Canis lupus familiaris: one gene and its partners. The protein of the gene in region 2 binds, or shares a complex with, the protein of the main gene of each other region. Links are inferred from orthologs where the notes say so. Each region holds a gene or a part of one and is shown on either strand. Other genes may lie near its edges.

Region 1 (4,619 bases), on a different chromosome or scaffold from region 2:
GCATTATCTCCAAGCTTGGTGTGCCTGCCTAACTGCGGGTTCATCCCCAGCTGCCTCTGCCCCGGGATTCTTCACTGTGCGCTTCCTGCCTCTCGGCTCTGCAGAAACCCTTCACCACAAGAGCTGCTACAAGGGACGGTTCCAGCTGCTTTATGTGGCCTGTGGGTAAGAAAGAGGTCTCTGGCTCCTCTGCCCTCACACCCAGAAATCCTGGCCCTCAGCCCCTCCTCAGTCAGCACCCAGATTCCCTGGCCCCACTACTCCCTCAGGACCTGAAAGTCTAAGTCTCAGCCCTCAGCCCTCACTTTTCTCTACTCAGGATGGTGCATCTTCTCAGCCCCGATCTCGGGGCCTGTGTGGCCCCCGGAGGACGCTTGGTGGTGGAATTGGCCCGGTGAGCCAGCCAGTGGGAGCGCAGGGCAGGGAATATCCAGCCCTGGGCTCACAGCCGGGGACCCCCTAACATACCCCTTCCTTGTTTCAGGTACCTGGTGGACTTGAGGCAGGAGCAGTTGCAGGGCTTTGCTGCCCGGGTTGGAGAGTTAGCTCAGGCGGCTGGATTCACGCCCCCACCCCAGGCCAGGCCCTCGGAGACCTTTGCGCGCTTCTGCAAAGCCTTGGACTCTGCTGGCCAGCACACTGACTCAGCTTCGGAATCCATGACTCCGCCCCCTGACACCCTGGCTCCGGCCCTTGAGAACCAGAGTCAGCCTCTCAAAGGCGGGACCCCACCCTCTTAGCCCCTCAAACTGCGCTCAGAACCCCTCAAACTCCAGCTCTACTCCCCAAGGTTCTGGCTCCACCCACAGAGAGTCTGACCCCATTCCCAGATATCCAGTCCCCCATCTCTGACCTCTAAGGTCAGGTCCTGGAAGTAGAGCTTGCCTCTAGAATATTCACTCGGGTATACTCTCAATATTCTCCAACAGCTCCAGCGGTGTCCCTAGAATTTCAGATTACCTTCCTGGGATTCTATATTCTGTTCCTAGAATTCTAGAGTGTTCTTTCAGGGTTCCACATTCCATTCTTGAGACTCTAGAGATCCGGCCCTGAGTCTCAGGCCCTCTATGTGGTTTTCTTGTCCTCAGAGGTCCTATTTTACCTGAGGGTTGGGGGAATCTGCTTTCCAGGGCTGGTCCACACCCACATAGTCCAGATAAAAAGAGTGGTGTCCTCTTCTTCATGTGCCCTTGTGTCTTTGTCTTCACTTTTGTCTCCAGGGCTGGGACAGGGAAGGGGCTAGGGTGGTTAAGAGAGGAGACCTAGTTCCAAGTGGATTTCTCTGGGCTGTTATTGCCTGAGAGTCTGGACCATACCTGGATCGTCACATAAATCAACAAAATTTATTGAGTGGCTAACAGGTTTGGGACACAGAAACTGATCATAGCTCTCATGGAGATCACTGTTTAGTGTGGGGATGAGCCCCAGACTTCTGGGTCTGAAGAACCAAGGAGCTGGGGGCCTGAACTCCTGCATCTGAGGGAGGAAGGGCTGGGGGCCTGAACTCCTGTGTCTGCTGGAGGAGGGGAATGGGGGCCTGAACCCCTGCGTGTGAGGGAGGAGGGGCTGGGTTCCAGGCCTCCAAGGTGGAAGGGTGATCCAGCTGGAGCACAGCCCACCCCACCCCTCACGCGCCCCGGTTATCTCACATCCTGGGCAGGGGGAGGAGGTGGCAGCAGTATATTTAGTCTCAGTCCACGCCCCTTATCTCAGTGTCTTCAGTGAAGCTTGAGCAGTGCAGACAGACTGAAGCTCTGGGGGCCTTCAAGGTCATCCCGGATGCCCCCTCACTGACCTTCCAATCGCCCCTTGCCCTTCTTTGCCTCCTGCAAGCCTTGGCCTGAGTCTGCGCATGGCGGATGAGTGAGTGCATCTAGGGAACTCGGACCTGCAGGGCCCGAGGCGGTGGGACGTGGGCCTGTGAGGCCTGAGGAGGGAGGTGGGGACAGACTCCTGGCTATCGGCACGAAGAAAGGTTTGGGAACCAGACTCCCTGGAACCCGAGGACTGGGCAGCTGGTGGGCGGCCCCTGGGGTCCCTTAGACTGGACGGGACAGAGGCCCACCATTAACCCCCCCTTCCCGGTCTCTTCCTTCAGGAGCGGCGATGCGGTGAGAGGAGGCGCAGGCCGGGGTCCACGGCAGGGGAGGGAGCCGCAGGGTGGGCCCTGGGGCGGGAGGTGGCAGCTCCACCCGTAGAGGGGCGCTGGGGGGGCCCGCAGTGACGTGGCTCCATCCCCCCAACCCCAGGCGGGGTGCCCGCCCCCCGCTCCGGCCCCGATCCGACGCCAGTCTTCCGCCAACTACCGCGCGTACGCCACGGAGCCGCACGCCAAGGTGAGCGAGGGGCTGGCGGGGCTCGGTTCCCGGTCCGCAGAGGGGGCGGGACCCAGGGGTGGAGGGGCGGTGCCAGAGCCTTGGCTGGGGCGGGGCTTTGGCTGTGGGCGGAGCCTAGGAGGAAGCTGCGCCCTAGGGGCGGGGTTTTGCGGAGGGAGGGCTCGGATTGGTGTGGCCTGCCTATGGGCGGAGTTCGTTGCCCATGGGAACTGCCTAAGCAGTCAGGGGGTCAGGGTTGGTGGATGGGGCTGAGGGGCTCAGCTTCAGCGGGAAGCGAGTCCAAATCTGGAACCTACCCATGCCCCCGACCATCTGTCTCCTACTCCCCGCCCTGATTATTCCTTGCTCCATGTCACCCCGGCAGAAAAAGTCCAAGATCTCCGCCTCGAGGAAACTGCAGCTGAAGGTGCTGGTGGGCCTGGAGGGGGCGCCTAGGTGTCCTCAGGGGGTGGAGCTGGAGGGTCGGGTGCGGGAGGGGGTAGGACGAGGCCTCAGTGGGGAGTGAGCGTGGCTTGTGGTGAGCAGCACCCACCCTCTCCCCGCCACGGGGGCGGAGCCTCGGATTGAAGGGGAGCGTCTCTGGAAAACCGCGGACCCTGCCTGGAACTGGGGGGCTGTCCTGGCCAGGGCGGCCTCCCCGGTGCGGATGCCGCGCAGCCCTCATCCGCCTCCCCGGGTGGGCTGCGGTCCCCGGCCTCGCCTCTGCAGACCCTGATGCTGCAGATCGCGAAGCAAGAGCTGGAGAGGGAGGCGGAGGAGCGGCGCGGAGAGAAAGGGCGCGCCCTGAGCACGCGGTGCCAGCCGCTGGAGTTAGCCGGGCTGGGCTTCGCGGAGCTGCAGGTACCGTTCTCATCAGGGACTCCTGCCCAGCTGGGGATCCGAGGTACCTAGTGACCGCTCCTGCATGGTTTGGACTCACCGGTCTAGTCACTGTCCCCTACCTCTGCTCTGGACCTTGTGATCCAGTCTGCTAATCCTTACCCTCAGGAGTTCAGAAATATGGCCTGCAGCTGCCTACAGTCTCAAAACCCAGAGATTAGGCTCTCCAGCCCCAATTCTGTCAGATTCTCAGGACTCCTGGCTCCCAGCACCCTTTATTCCAGCTGCCCCAGAGTCCTCTAGGACTAGATGTCCAGGCCCCCAGGGCCTCCTCCCTCAGACTCAGGAGTCAGAGTACCCCCGTCCCCCAACCACACATACCACATTCTTGACCAGGACTTGTGCCGACAACTCCACGCCCGAGTGGACAAAGTGGATGAAGAGAGATACGATGTGGAGGCGAAAGTCACCAAGAACATCACAGAGGTGGGGGGCCCTGGGCAGTCTTGGTCCCTTCGGGTAAAGTCTGGTGCCTGGGGTTGTGGTCTCAGTCCACGCCCTTGCAGCTGCTGTTGACTGCAGACACCAGGAGACCCAGGACAGCTGGGCCTGGCAGGGATGGGGCAGAAGAATGAGTATAAAGTGGTTAGGGAAGGCTGTTCCAGGCAGAGGGGACAATAGCACACAAAAGCCAGGAGTTGGGAACGCAGAAGCTGTATTCGTGGAAATGTGTAGCTGGAGCATCGGGTGTTGTTGATAGGTGAGCTCAGGCATGGGTCAGGAAATTGTGGGATGCATGCAGCAGCACCAGGAGGTGTCAAGTGTTTTTCAGAGAGGAGGCTGGGCCCGTCGGGAGGGCTTACAGTTACTGGATGAGGAGCCTGGATGAGACCTCCATAGGCCTGGAAAGAGAGCAGAGGGAAGTATAGGGTGGAAGAATGGGTCTGGTGGAGGTTTCTACCTTCCCTTATGGCTGCCCCCAGATAGCAGATCTGACCCAGAAGATCTTTGACCTTCGTGGCAAATTTAAGCGGCCCACCCTGCGGAGGGTGAGGATCTCTGCAGATGCCATGATGCAGGCGCTGCTGGGCACCAGGGCTAAGGAGTCCTTAGACCTGCGGGCCCACCTCAAGCAGGTGAAGAAGGAGGACACAGAGAAGGTGAGTGTGGCTAGAGCCAGGAAAGGGGGTGCTCAGAGGAGAGGGTGTGGGACATAACAGTCATTGGGCCTAAGCTCAGGGCAGATGCTACTTGGAGTTATGGGGAGAAGAATCTGGTAAGAGGTCCCCAATAGGAAGTATAGGAGGGGCATAGGAAGTGCAAGGGGAAGCCAGAAAGTAGAAGGGGAAGCCAGGAAGTGCATTAGGGAGAAAGGAAGTAGCAAGGCCAGAAGTGCATGAGGGAGATAGGATGTGCATGGGGGCAACTTTGATGGGATCGCCTGAGGGGATGAGAAGCCTTCCA
Region 2 (3,218 bases):
CGCCACGCCGTCTTCAACTCAGGGAGCCCGTGGTCCCTGGTTCGCGCGCACGCCCCAGAGGACGCGCAAGTGGCGGGAGGGGAGAAAGCCGAGCACTCGGAGCAGCCCACGCCTCTCAGCAGCTCAGCTCGGCCTGAAGGGCCACCTGACGACACCGGCCCTCCTTCCCCTCGGACGCCTGCTTCCTAGGCCCCGGCCAGGAAGAGAAAGAAAACAGGCCCATCCAAGAAGGCCTCCATTGTTCCCAAGGAGTGACTCACACGGGAACCCTTGTCCTGACGCTCAGGACGCTCGGCACGTCCCCCCGGGCCTCACGGTGACTCACGGCGGTGACTCACGGCAGCCCCGGCACAAGGCCTCCTGCTGGGTGTGAGGCCCAGGCCCTGGGTGAGCCCGCGCGTTCGCGTTCGGGGCCAGCACCCTCTCGCCTCCCGAGCAGGTGGACGGGGCTAACTTTGAGTTTGGCAGTTACCAGCGGCCCGTGTCCCCAAGGGGCGTGTGTCCCCGAGGGGCCCGAGTCCCTGAGGGGCTGCTCTCGGCCCTGACTCCCTGTGAGACAGGCTCTCACCTCAGCTTCCCTCCCTCTGAAGAGTTGCTGACAGAAAAGGCACGCAGTGTGTGTTGGCTTTTATTATGGGCATGCGTGGCACGTGGGGTGCATGCGTGGGCACGTGGGGTGCATGCGTGGGCACGTGGGGGGACAGGTGCACAGCAGCTTCTGGCCGGGCCAGCTCCTGGTTTCCAGACACCAGCCTGCCTCCAGCACCCGGGGGGCCCCAGGGACTGGGGGCGAGCGGGACGGGGCGCCGGCGAGGATCTTTGGTCAAGGCGACTGCTGCCCCTACTTCCAGCGCCCGGTGACCTTGGCCTTCCCGCGGGTCTTGGAGCTGCCAGAGAAGCGGGGCGCCGTCAGAAGCGGGACACAGGCCGGGCAGCAGGTCTCCACAGGGAGGGGGCGCAGGTGGCCGACGGGGAGGGTCGACAGGGTGGCCTGGAGCTGCCTCCGAGCCTCGGGTTGGGGTGAGTCCCCACGGGCCCTGCACCCCGTTCCCCGCAGAGCAGTCACCCCGGGGGAGCCCAAGGAGGAAGCAGCCTGTGCCCTGAAGCGGAGGAGGCAGGGGTGGGAGCCGGAGCCCTCAGAGGAGGAGCGGGATGGCTAGGACCCGGGGCAGGAGGAGGCAGGCGGGCTGGAGGAAGGACCTAGAAACTTACACTTTCTGGTTATCATTGATTCTGTTCCGGAGAACATTGATCTGTAAGTGAGAAAGACAGAGTAACCTCGGAGCTCAGGGACTCAGGTCCCAGGTGGCTGGGGATGAGGGGGAAGCTGGCTTAGCACAGCTGTGGAGGAGGAAGGAGGAGGGAGGAGGGGGAGGAGGAAGAGGAAAGATGAGGGAGGGGGTAGGAGAGGGAGGAGGGGAGGGGGCCGAGCAGCAGCGCTGTGAGATCCAGAGGGCCCCGGGGCCACAAGCAGAAGCCAGGCAGAGGCTTCCCGGCCACCCCACGGGGCTGTCGCTGTGGGGTCCCAGAGCCACAGAGGGCTCGGGACAGGGTGGCACAAAGAGGCCTGAGCCCCGGTGCAAGGCCGGGCCTCAGGAAGCCCCCAGGCAGCCGCAGCCCCCAGGGCCCCAGCCGTCCCGCCCTGGACCCCAGGGGAGAAGGGAGGCCGGGGCCTGGGGGCTGGGGAGCAGCTAACACCTCCTGCGCCCGCGGGGTGCCCGGCACCTTCTGTTCCGTCATGAGCACTCTTCCCAACTGTTCACCCGCAGGATTATCACGAGGTATGACCTCATCCACGCGAAAGCGCTCCAAGGGGCCTCGGCAGAGCCATCACTGCGACTGTCACCGTTACTCCCCCCCGCCCCCCCAACCCTCACCGTGGCCTGCGGGCATCCTCGTCGTTTCAATGGGAAACAGAAACGAGGAGAGCTAAGCGACTGGCCCGGGTCACGCGGGTGAGGGCCGAGCCACGGACCCGGCGGTGCGGCCACCACGTGCACGCTCCGTCACCACACGGGGACATCCATGCAGCCACGGGGGCCTGAGCGGTGCCCAGAGGAGGGACCCTGCGCAGGAGGTGCCCGAGGCAGCCCCCAAGGGGAAGCTGCGCTCCTGGGGCCGACGGGCCTGTGGAGACCCGCGCCGCCCAGCTGACTCCAGCCTGCTGCCGGGACACCTGGGACCCCTCGGCGGGCTGGGTGCACCCCAGGGCCTCAGAGTCTGTGGGGACGGGAGATGCGGCTGCCGGGGCGAGGGGCCTCCTCTGCACCCGGAGCCCTGCTCTGTGCACCCGGCTCCCCCTGTCTGTCTGGGCGGCTGCCTCGAGGCCTCAGAAAGGAGGGGAGGGGGACCCCCCAGGGCAGGCCCCCCCAACATGGGTTTTTGCTCCGGCCCCGCCAGTGAACCATCAGAGCTCTGCAGCGAGCAGTGGCCGGTGGTGGACCCTGAGCACTGTCAGGGATGAGACCCCGAGTGCGGGGTGACAGGGTCGGGGAAGGGGCCTGACTGACAGCGCCGAGGGGACCCACCGACCCAGGAGGGGCGTGGTGGGGTCAGGGTTGGGGGGAGCAGCTCACTTCGTATTTCTGCTGCTTGAACTTCTCCTGCAGGTCGAACTTCTCGGCCTCCAGGTTGTAGATGCTCTGCCACAGTTCCTTGGCCTTCTCCCTGCGCGGCCGGAGCGGGGCGGGGTGGGGGCCCTAAGGGGGGGCCTTCCTCCCGAAGGGCCCCGGGCCCCAGAGGCCCCAGCCCTCCTGCACCCCAGGCCGGCCTAGGTCCCCAGCCCACCCACTCAGTGTGGCGCCCAGATGGCAGTGCCCGGGGCTTGGGGAGACAACCAGGGGCCGGAGGACCGAGGTCTGGGGAGGGGCAAGGCCCTGCAGCACCGCAGAGCACAGTCCGATCCCCGTGTCCCCCCCACCCCCAGAGGGCGTCTACTCAGTGCTCCCTCCCTGTTGGCCAAGCAGACCCGGCTTGACCCGCTCAGGCCCAGCTCCGTCCACCAGGCCGGTCTTTGGGAAAATATGTGGTGTGACCGCGCCCCCTGGAGGTGGGTGGTGAGAATGCGCCCCCTGCCCTCCCCTCCCGCTTCCCCTCTGCTCCCCCCCTTCTGCCCCCTGTCCTCCCCACCCTTCCCTCTGCCCCCCTACTCCCGCTTTGCCCTCCTGCCCTCCCCTCTGTTCCCCTGCCCTCCACCACCCTCCCCTCTGCACCCCCGC
Region 3 (4,453 bases), on a different chromosome or scaffold from region 2:
ATCCAGGTCTATGTAGCCATCAGCATTTCTGTGCCGGGGGCGGGGATGTGAAGGGGACCTCAGAGCTCATGGTGTGGGCCAGAGGAAGGGAAGAAGCCCCACCCATGATACCAGGAGGCAAGGCAGGGCCAGCACTGAAAATGGGGTGGGACATCCCATTTTCCCATTGCACAGAGTGGGAAACTGAGGCCTTGAGGTCACAAGACTGTCCCCCTTTCCCCACCTCTGCAAGAGTCAGGTCAGAGATCCTGGGTCATGCACTCACTTGTCAAACATGCGGAAAAGGTCGGACAGCTCCTCCTCAGACTTTCCTTTGCTGTCATCCTTCATGCACCGAACCATCATGACCAGGAACTCATCAAAGTCCACTGTGCCACTGCCTGCAAGGTGAGCAGCCCAGCCATCAGTGAGGGATGGTTAGAATGCTCTTGACACTAAACCCCTGTGCTCTTGCTGCGTGCATTCTCTCTCTTTTTAAAAATATTTTATTTATTTATTCAAGAGAGACAGAGAGAGAGAGAGGCAGAGACACAGGCAGAGGGAGAAGCAGGCTCCCTGCAGGGGAGCCTGATGAAGGACTCGATCCCGGGACTGCAAGACCATGCCCTGAGCCAAAGGCAGCCACTCAACTGCTTAGCCACCCAGGTGCCCTGCTGCATGCATTCTCATAGCAACTCCGTGAGACGAGTGTGGTCATTATATCCATTTCAGAAGATGACACGATTGAGGCTCAGAGAGGTTAAAAGTTCCTTCGAGGGCACAGAGTAATAAGTGGCAGAGCCAGGATTTGGGGCCCAAGCACTGGAGGCTGATGTGGGTCTAGGGTCTGGGGGGCAGGGGGCTCACCGTCCTCATCCACCTCGTCAATCATCTCCTGCAGCTCCTCGGGTGTGGGGTTCTGGCCCAGCATCCTCATCACCTTGCCCAGCTCCTTGGTGCTGATGCAGCCATCTTCGGCGCCCAGCACGAAGATGTCAAAGGCTGCCTTGAATTCTGTGTCCAAAGGGAAGGAGGGGAAGATAGAGTGGTCAGGGCTCAGAAGCCAGGATCCCAGAAGGCCAGACCTCTGGGGCCATCTGCCAACTGCCTTTTCCCTCCAAGACCTCTGAGGTTGCGGTGAGAGGGACCCCGGCCTCGGGGGTCCTCATGCTCCCCCAGCCTGGCCCTGTCGTACCCCCACATATGTTGGAGCACTCACCATTTTTCTGCTCTTCTGTCAGCTGTTCTACCTGGAGAGAAAAAGAGGTCTCAGGACTGATTCAGGACTTGGCTGCTATTAAGGAAATCAACCCATTCCACAGATGGGGAAAGTGAAGCCAGGAAGAGGCAGGCCATTCCCAGGTCACAGTCCTCAGTCCTCACTCCCTGTCCCCCGAAGTCCTGAGGTGACCCAGCTGGCCTCACTGAGGCTGGGCTTAGGGCCAGGGTGACAGGTGGGCGCCCCTTCCAGGGCCAAGGTGACCCCGAGTAACAATAGTCAGTGACCACTCAATGCCCTTTCGGCTCCCTTGGTGAAATCCAAGCTGGGTGGCCTGAGGGACAGCTGTCCCTCAGGTTGGGACAATAAAACCAGTGTGGGGATAGGCAAAGCCACCCACTGTAACCTGACCTGGACGGCCACTGGGCTATTTTTAACGGGGGACAAAGTTAAACCTGGTGATTGTTCTGGGGACTCTGGCATGCAGGGGGTGGGGCAGCATTATCTGGCCCCCTGGCCTGCTGGTGCCTCAGGAGCCAAAATTAGTCCCCAGCCCCACCAGGCCTTGTATGGGCACAGGGTGGAGGGCAGCTCCCTCCCCCGCCAGCTCTGTGGACTCCTGTAGGACAGGCAGGGACAGCCCTAGAGCCAGCTCTAGCTCTCCCCTGCCCGGAAGTGAGGCTGCACTCCACTCTCAGGGCTGAGGGAGGGGTTCCCTTGGGGACAGTTGTCTATGCCGAACATCCTTGCCTCTGGGACAGGGGGAGGTCAGCAACACCACCTACTCCTGGGAGGGACTAGTATCTGAGGCCCCTCAGTGACCCTAGGACGCTGCAGGGACTCAGGGTGACCACTCTCCAGCCCTCACCCCTGGCTAAACCACTGACCCCTGAGCCCTCCAGGCCTGATTGGGGTGGGGGCCCTGGTTCTTGATTCCTTTTTCCCTGTGTCTCCCCCATGCTTAGCGCTTCCCTGCCTACCTCAAACCTCTAAGCCCCTTTTCCAGCTCAGGATTCTGGATCACCAGCCCCCTTCTCAAACTGTCCCACCCTCCACAGCATCTTCAGCCATCCAAGGAGCTGGAGGTAGGGGGTGGGGTGAGGAGCAGAATGTGAGGGGCAGAAACGGAGAGGGGGATGAGGTGGGGACAGGGAAACAGAAGCAGAGACTCAGAGGGACAACGAGGAGGAACAAAGAGATAGAAAGAGACTGATAAAGGCAAAGATCCAAAAACCACAGACACAAGTGAAGGGAGATGTGGCTGGAAGATAGTGACACAGACTACAGACACTTGGAGACAGGGGCAGACGTGATGCTAAAAGTTATGACCTCCTCCACCCTCCAAAAAGCTCCTCTCCAGACCTTGAACCCCTCACCCTAAACCCCTCACTCCTTCTACACCCTGGAATTAGAATGCCAGATCCACCATCCATCCCCTTGAGGGCCTGGGCTGAAAGTTGCATGGGCCCTCTCCCAGGTCCCCACTACCTTTGTAGAGTGACCTCACCCCCCATCGTGAGTTGAGTGAGGCCCCAGTGGGCCCATCCACCCCAGCCCTGCCCAGCCCAGTCCCTCACCGCAGCCTTGTAGATGTCATCCATGCTGGCGGCTCACAGGGCAGGCTGCTGGGGTTGCCAGCCAGCCCTGGGCTTAAATAGCCCTGCCCCACCTCATTCCCCGCCGGCCCAGCCCACCCCAGCCTGCAGTATCCTCCACCCCCTCCCCCAGCCCTGGTGATCTCAGGCTGGCCTGAATCCCTGTGTCCTCTGCCCAGTGCAGGGAGCAGATGAAGGGCTGCAAAAGGACCACATCTTTTTCCTTCTGTCCCCCATGGTTCCTAGGGGACTCTCTGGAAAGTCTTCTTGAATGAAAGAAAACATAAGCCAAGAACAGGACAGGTGCTGAAAAATAGTGGGCCCCAGGCCAGGCCCCTACACACAGAAGTTCAATTCTTATCCAATCAGGAAGATGGGTAATATTCCCATTTTTCAGATGAGGAAACTTAAGCTCCTGGAGGGCTGGTGATTTGTTCGGAATACGTCTGACTTGGCAGCCCCCGTCTTAAGCTAAGCCTGTTGCGGAGGGAGGGTGCTGGCCAGCAGTATGCAGCAAAGAGAGGCCCTTTCAAGAGAAGCTTCGAATGCCAAGTTCAGAGTATGGCGTTGTGTAACCACCGGAGAAGGAAGTCATTCACCCACGTTAGCACAGAGTGCTCTGGAGCCCTTGGGCCCAGGGGTGTCAGAGCATCCATAGCCAAGACCTCTCATCTCCCCAGGGAGAACAGCACTAGCTCTGGGTGTGGGTAAGCTGCATTTGGTCATTCAGTGCACACATGTACAGATGCCCCATCCGTGCTAGACTTTTCCCCTTCAGCTGGGTTACCATCCCCCTCTTCCAGGTGGGGGTCTTCCCCTGGGTTAGGGCTCCATCTCTGTGTCTGTGCTTCCCCATTCCAGTACTATAGTTTCTAGGGCCAGGGCCAGCCTGTTAGCCCCAACGGCCAGCGCCCATCCCTCCCTCCCACCCCCCTGCGGAGCCCCGTCTCCATAACCACACCAGCTCCCTGCCTCGAGTGCCGGGCACTGCGTGGATTAATCCCATTCGCTACAGGAGGTCTCCAAGTCTTGGAGAGGTTAAGAGCTGGCGCCAAGTTACTGTGTCCAGCTCGGGCTCTGCGCACAGCTCCTAACTTCAATCCCGTGCGTGCCCTGCAGAGGATGAGCCTGAGAGCCAGGCGAGGGGCGACGGCTGACTCTTGTTCTGGAAGGGGAAACTGAGAGCAGGCGGAGCAGTGGCTTCCCTCGGGTGGCCCGGGCGGTGCGGGGCGTTCCGTCCTCGCTTCCCGGGCGCAGAGCCGTCCCCGCCCGGCGCCTCGGTCCTCCTGGGGGCGCGCGGGCCGCAGCCAAGGTACCGCGCCGCGCCGGCGCTCGGGCCTCTGCCGTCTGCGCACGCGCGCTGCTGGCGGCTGCTGTCAATTACGCGCGGGGGGCGGGGCGGGGCGGGGCGGGGCGGGGCGCCAAGATGGCGGCGGCGCGCGCGGCGGGGGCGGGGGCGGGGGCGGGGGGCGGCGGGGCCCAGGGGGCGGCGGGACGCTGACCCCGCCCCCTGCTGCTGCCAGTCTGCGCCCGGCGGCGGCGGCGGCGGCGGCGGCGGCGGAGGCTGCGGCAACGGAGCCCGGAACATGGCGGCGGCGGCGCGCAGCTTCGGGCCCGAGCGGGAGGCCGAGCCGGCCAAGGAGGCGCGCGTCGTGGGCTC

The links. The genes of interacting proteins can lie anywhere in the genome.
Region 1: the proteins of TNNT2 (region 2) and TNNI3 are in contact, whole or in part, in a crystal structure (PDB 4Y99), measured with the Homo sapiens proteins. The link is inferred for Canis lupus familiaris from reciprocal best matches to the Homo sapiens genes TNNT2 and TNNI3. Residues at the interface, in NP_001263274.1 of Homo sapiens: Glu214, Lys217, Lys218, Ile221, Leu222, Arg225, Arg226, Lys227, Leu229, Ile231, Asp232, Leu234, Asn235, Glu236, Leu239, Arg240, Ala243, Lys244, Leu246, Trp247, Ile250, Tyr251, Leu253, Glu254, Ala255, Glu256, Lys257, Phe258, Asp259, Leu260; in NP_000354.4 of Homo sapiens: Arg68, Glu71, Lys72, Ala75, Leu76, Arg79, Gln81, Pro82, Leu83, Leu85, Leu88, Gly89, Phe90, Leu93, Gln94, Leu96, Arg98, Leu100, His101, Arg103, Val104, Asp105, Val107, Asp108, Glu109, Glu110, Arg111, Tyr112, Asp113, Ile114.
Region 3: the proteins of TNNT2 (region 2) and TNNC1 are in contact, whole or in part, in a crystal structure (PDB 1J1D), measured with the Homo sapiens proteins. The link is inferred for Canis lupus familiaris from reciprocal best matches to the Homo sapiens genes TNNT2 and TNNC1. Residues at the interface, in NP_001263274.1 of Homo sapiens: Gln266, Tyr269, Asn272, Val273, Asn276, Arg277, Asp280; in NP_003271.1 of Homo sapiens: Asp99, Phe101, Arg102, Asp105, Ala108, Asp109, Gly110, Tyr111, Arg147, Tyr150, Asp151.

Annotation. Positions count from the first base shown.
Region 1 is NC_049222.1:103,239,553-103,244,171, forward strand, and holds the start of TNNI3 (troponin I, cardiac muscle), read left to right. Parts: upstream 1-1,713; 5' UTR 1,714-1,852; coding exon 1,853-1,863; intron 1,864-2,098; coding exon 2,099-2,111; intron 2,112-2,249; coding exon 2,250-2,336; intron 2,337-2,700; coding exon 2,701-2,742; intron 2,743-3,044; coding exon 3,045-3,176; intron 3,177-3,551; coding exon 3,552-3,641; intron 3,642-3,775; exon of another isoform or gene 3,776-4,057; intron 4,058-4,138; coding exon 4,139-4,315; intron 4,316-4,619. Other genes in the region: DNAAF3 (dynein assembly factor 3, axonemal), read left to right, coding at 51-165, 320-394, 485-740. UniProt on the Homo sapiens protein: Troponin I is the inhibitory subunit of troponin, the thin filament regulatory complex which confers calcium-sensitivity to striated muscle actomyosin ATPase activity.
Region 2 is NC_049228.1:1,655,021-1,658,238, reverse strand, and holds the end of TNNT2 (troponin T, cardiac muscle), read right to left. Parts: intron 2,668-3,218; coding exon 2,577-2,667; intron 1,254-2,576; coding exon 1,213-1,253; intron 888-1,212; coding exon 842-887; 3' UTR 595-841; downstream 1-594. UniProt on the Homo sapiens protein: Troponin T is the tropomyosin-binding subunit of troponin, the thin filament regulatory complex which confers calcium-sensitivity to striated muscle actomyosin ATPase activity.
Region 3 is NC_049241.1:37,719,655-37,724,107, reverse strand, and holds the start of TNNC1 (troponin C, slow skeletal and cardiac muscles), read right to left. Parts: upstream 2,907-4,453; 5' UTR 2,800-2,906; coding exon 2,776-2,799; intron 1,230-2,775; coding exon 1,199-1,229; intron 994-1,198; coding exon 847-993; intron 381-846; coding exon 266-380; intron 29-265; coding exon 1-28. Other genes in the region: NISCH (nischarin), read left to right, coding at 4,380-4,453. UniProt on the Homo sapiens protein: Troponin is the central regulatory protein of striated muscle contraction. Tn consists of three components: Tn-I which is the inhibitor of actomyosin ATPase, Tn-T which contains the binding site for tropomyosin and Tn-C.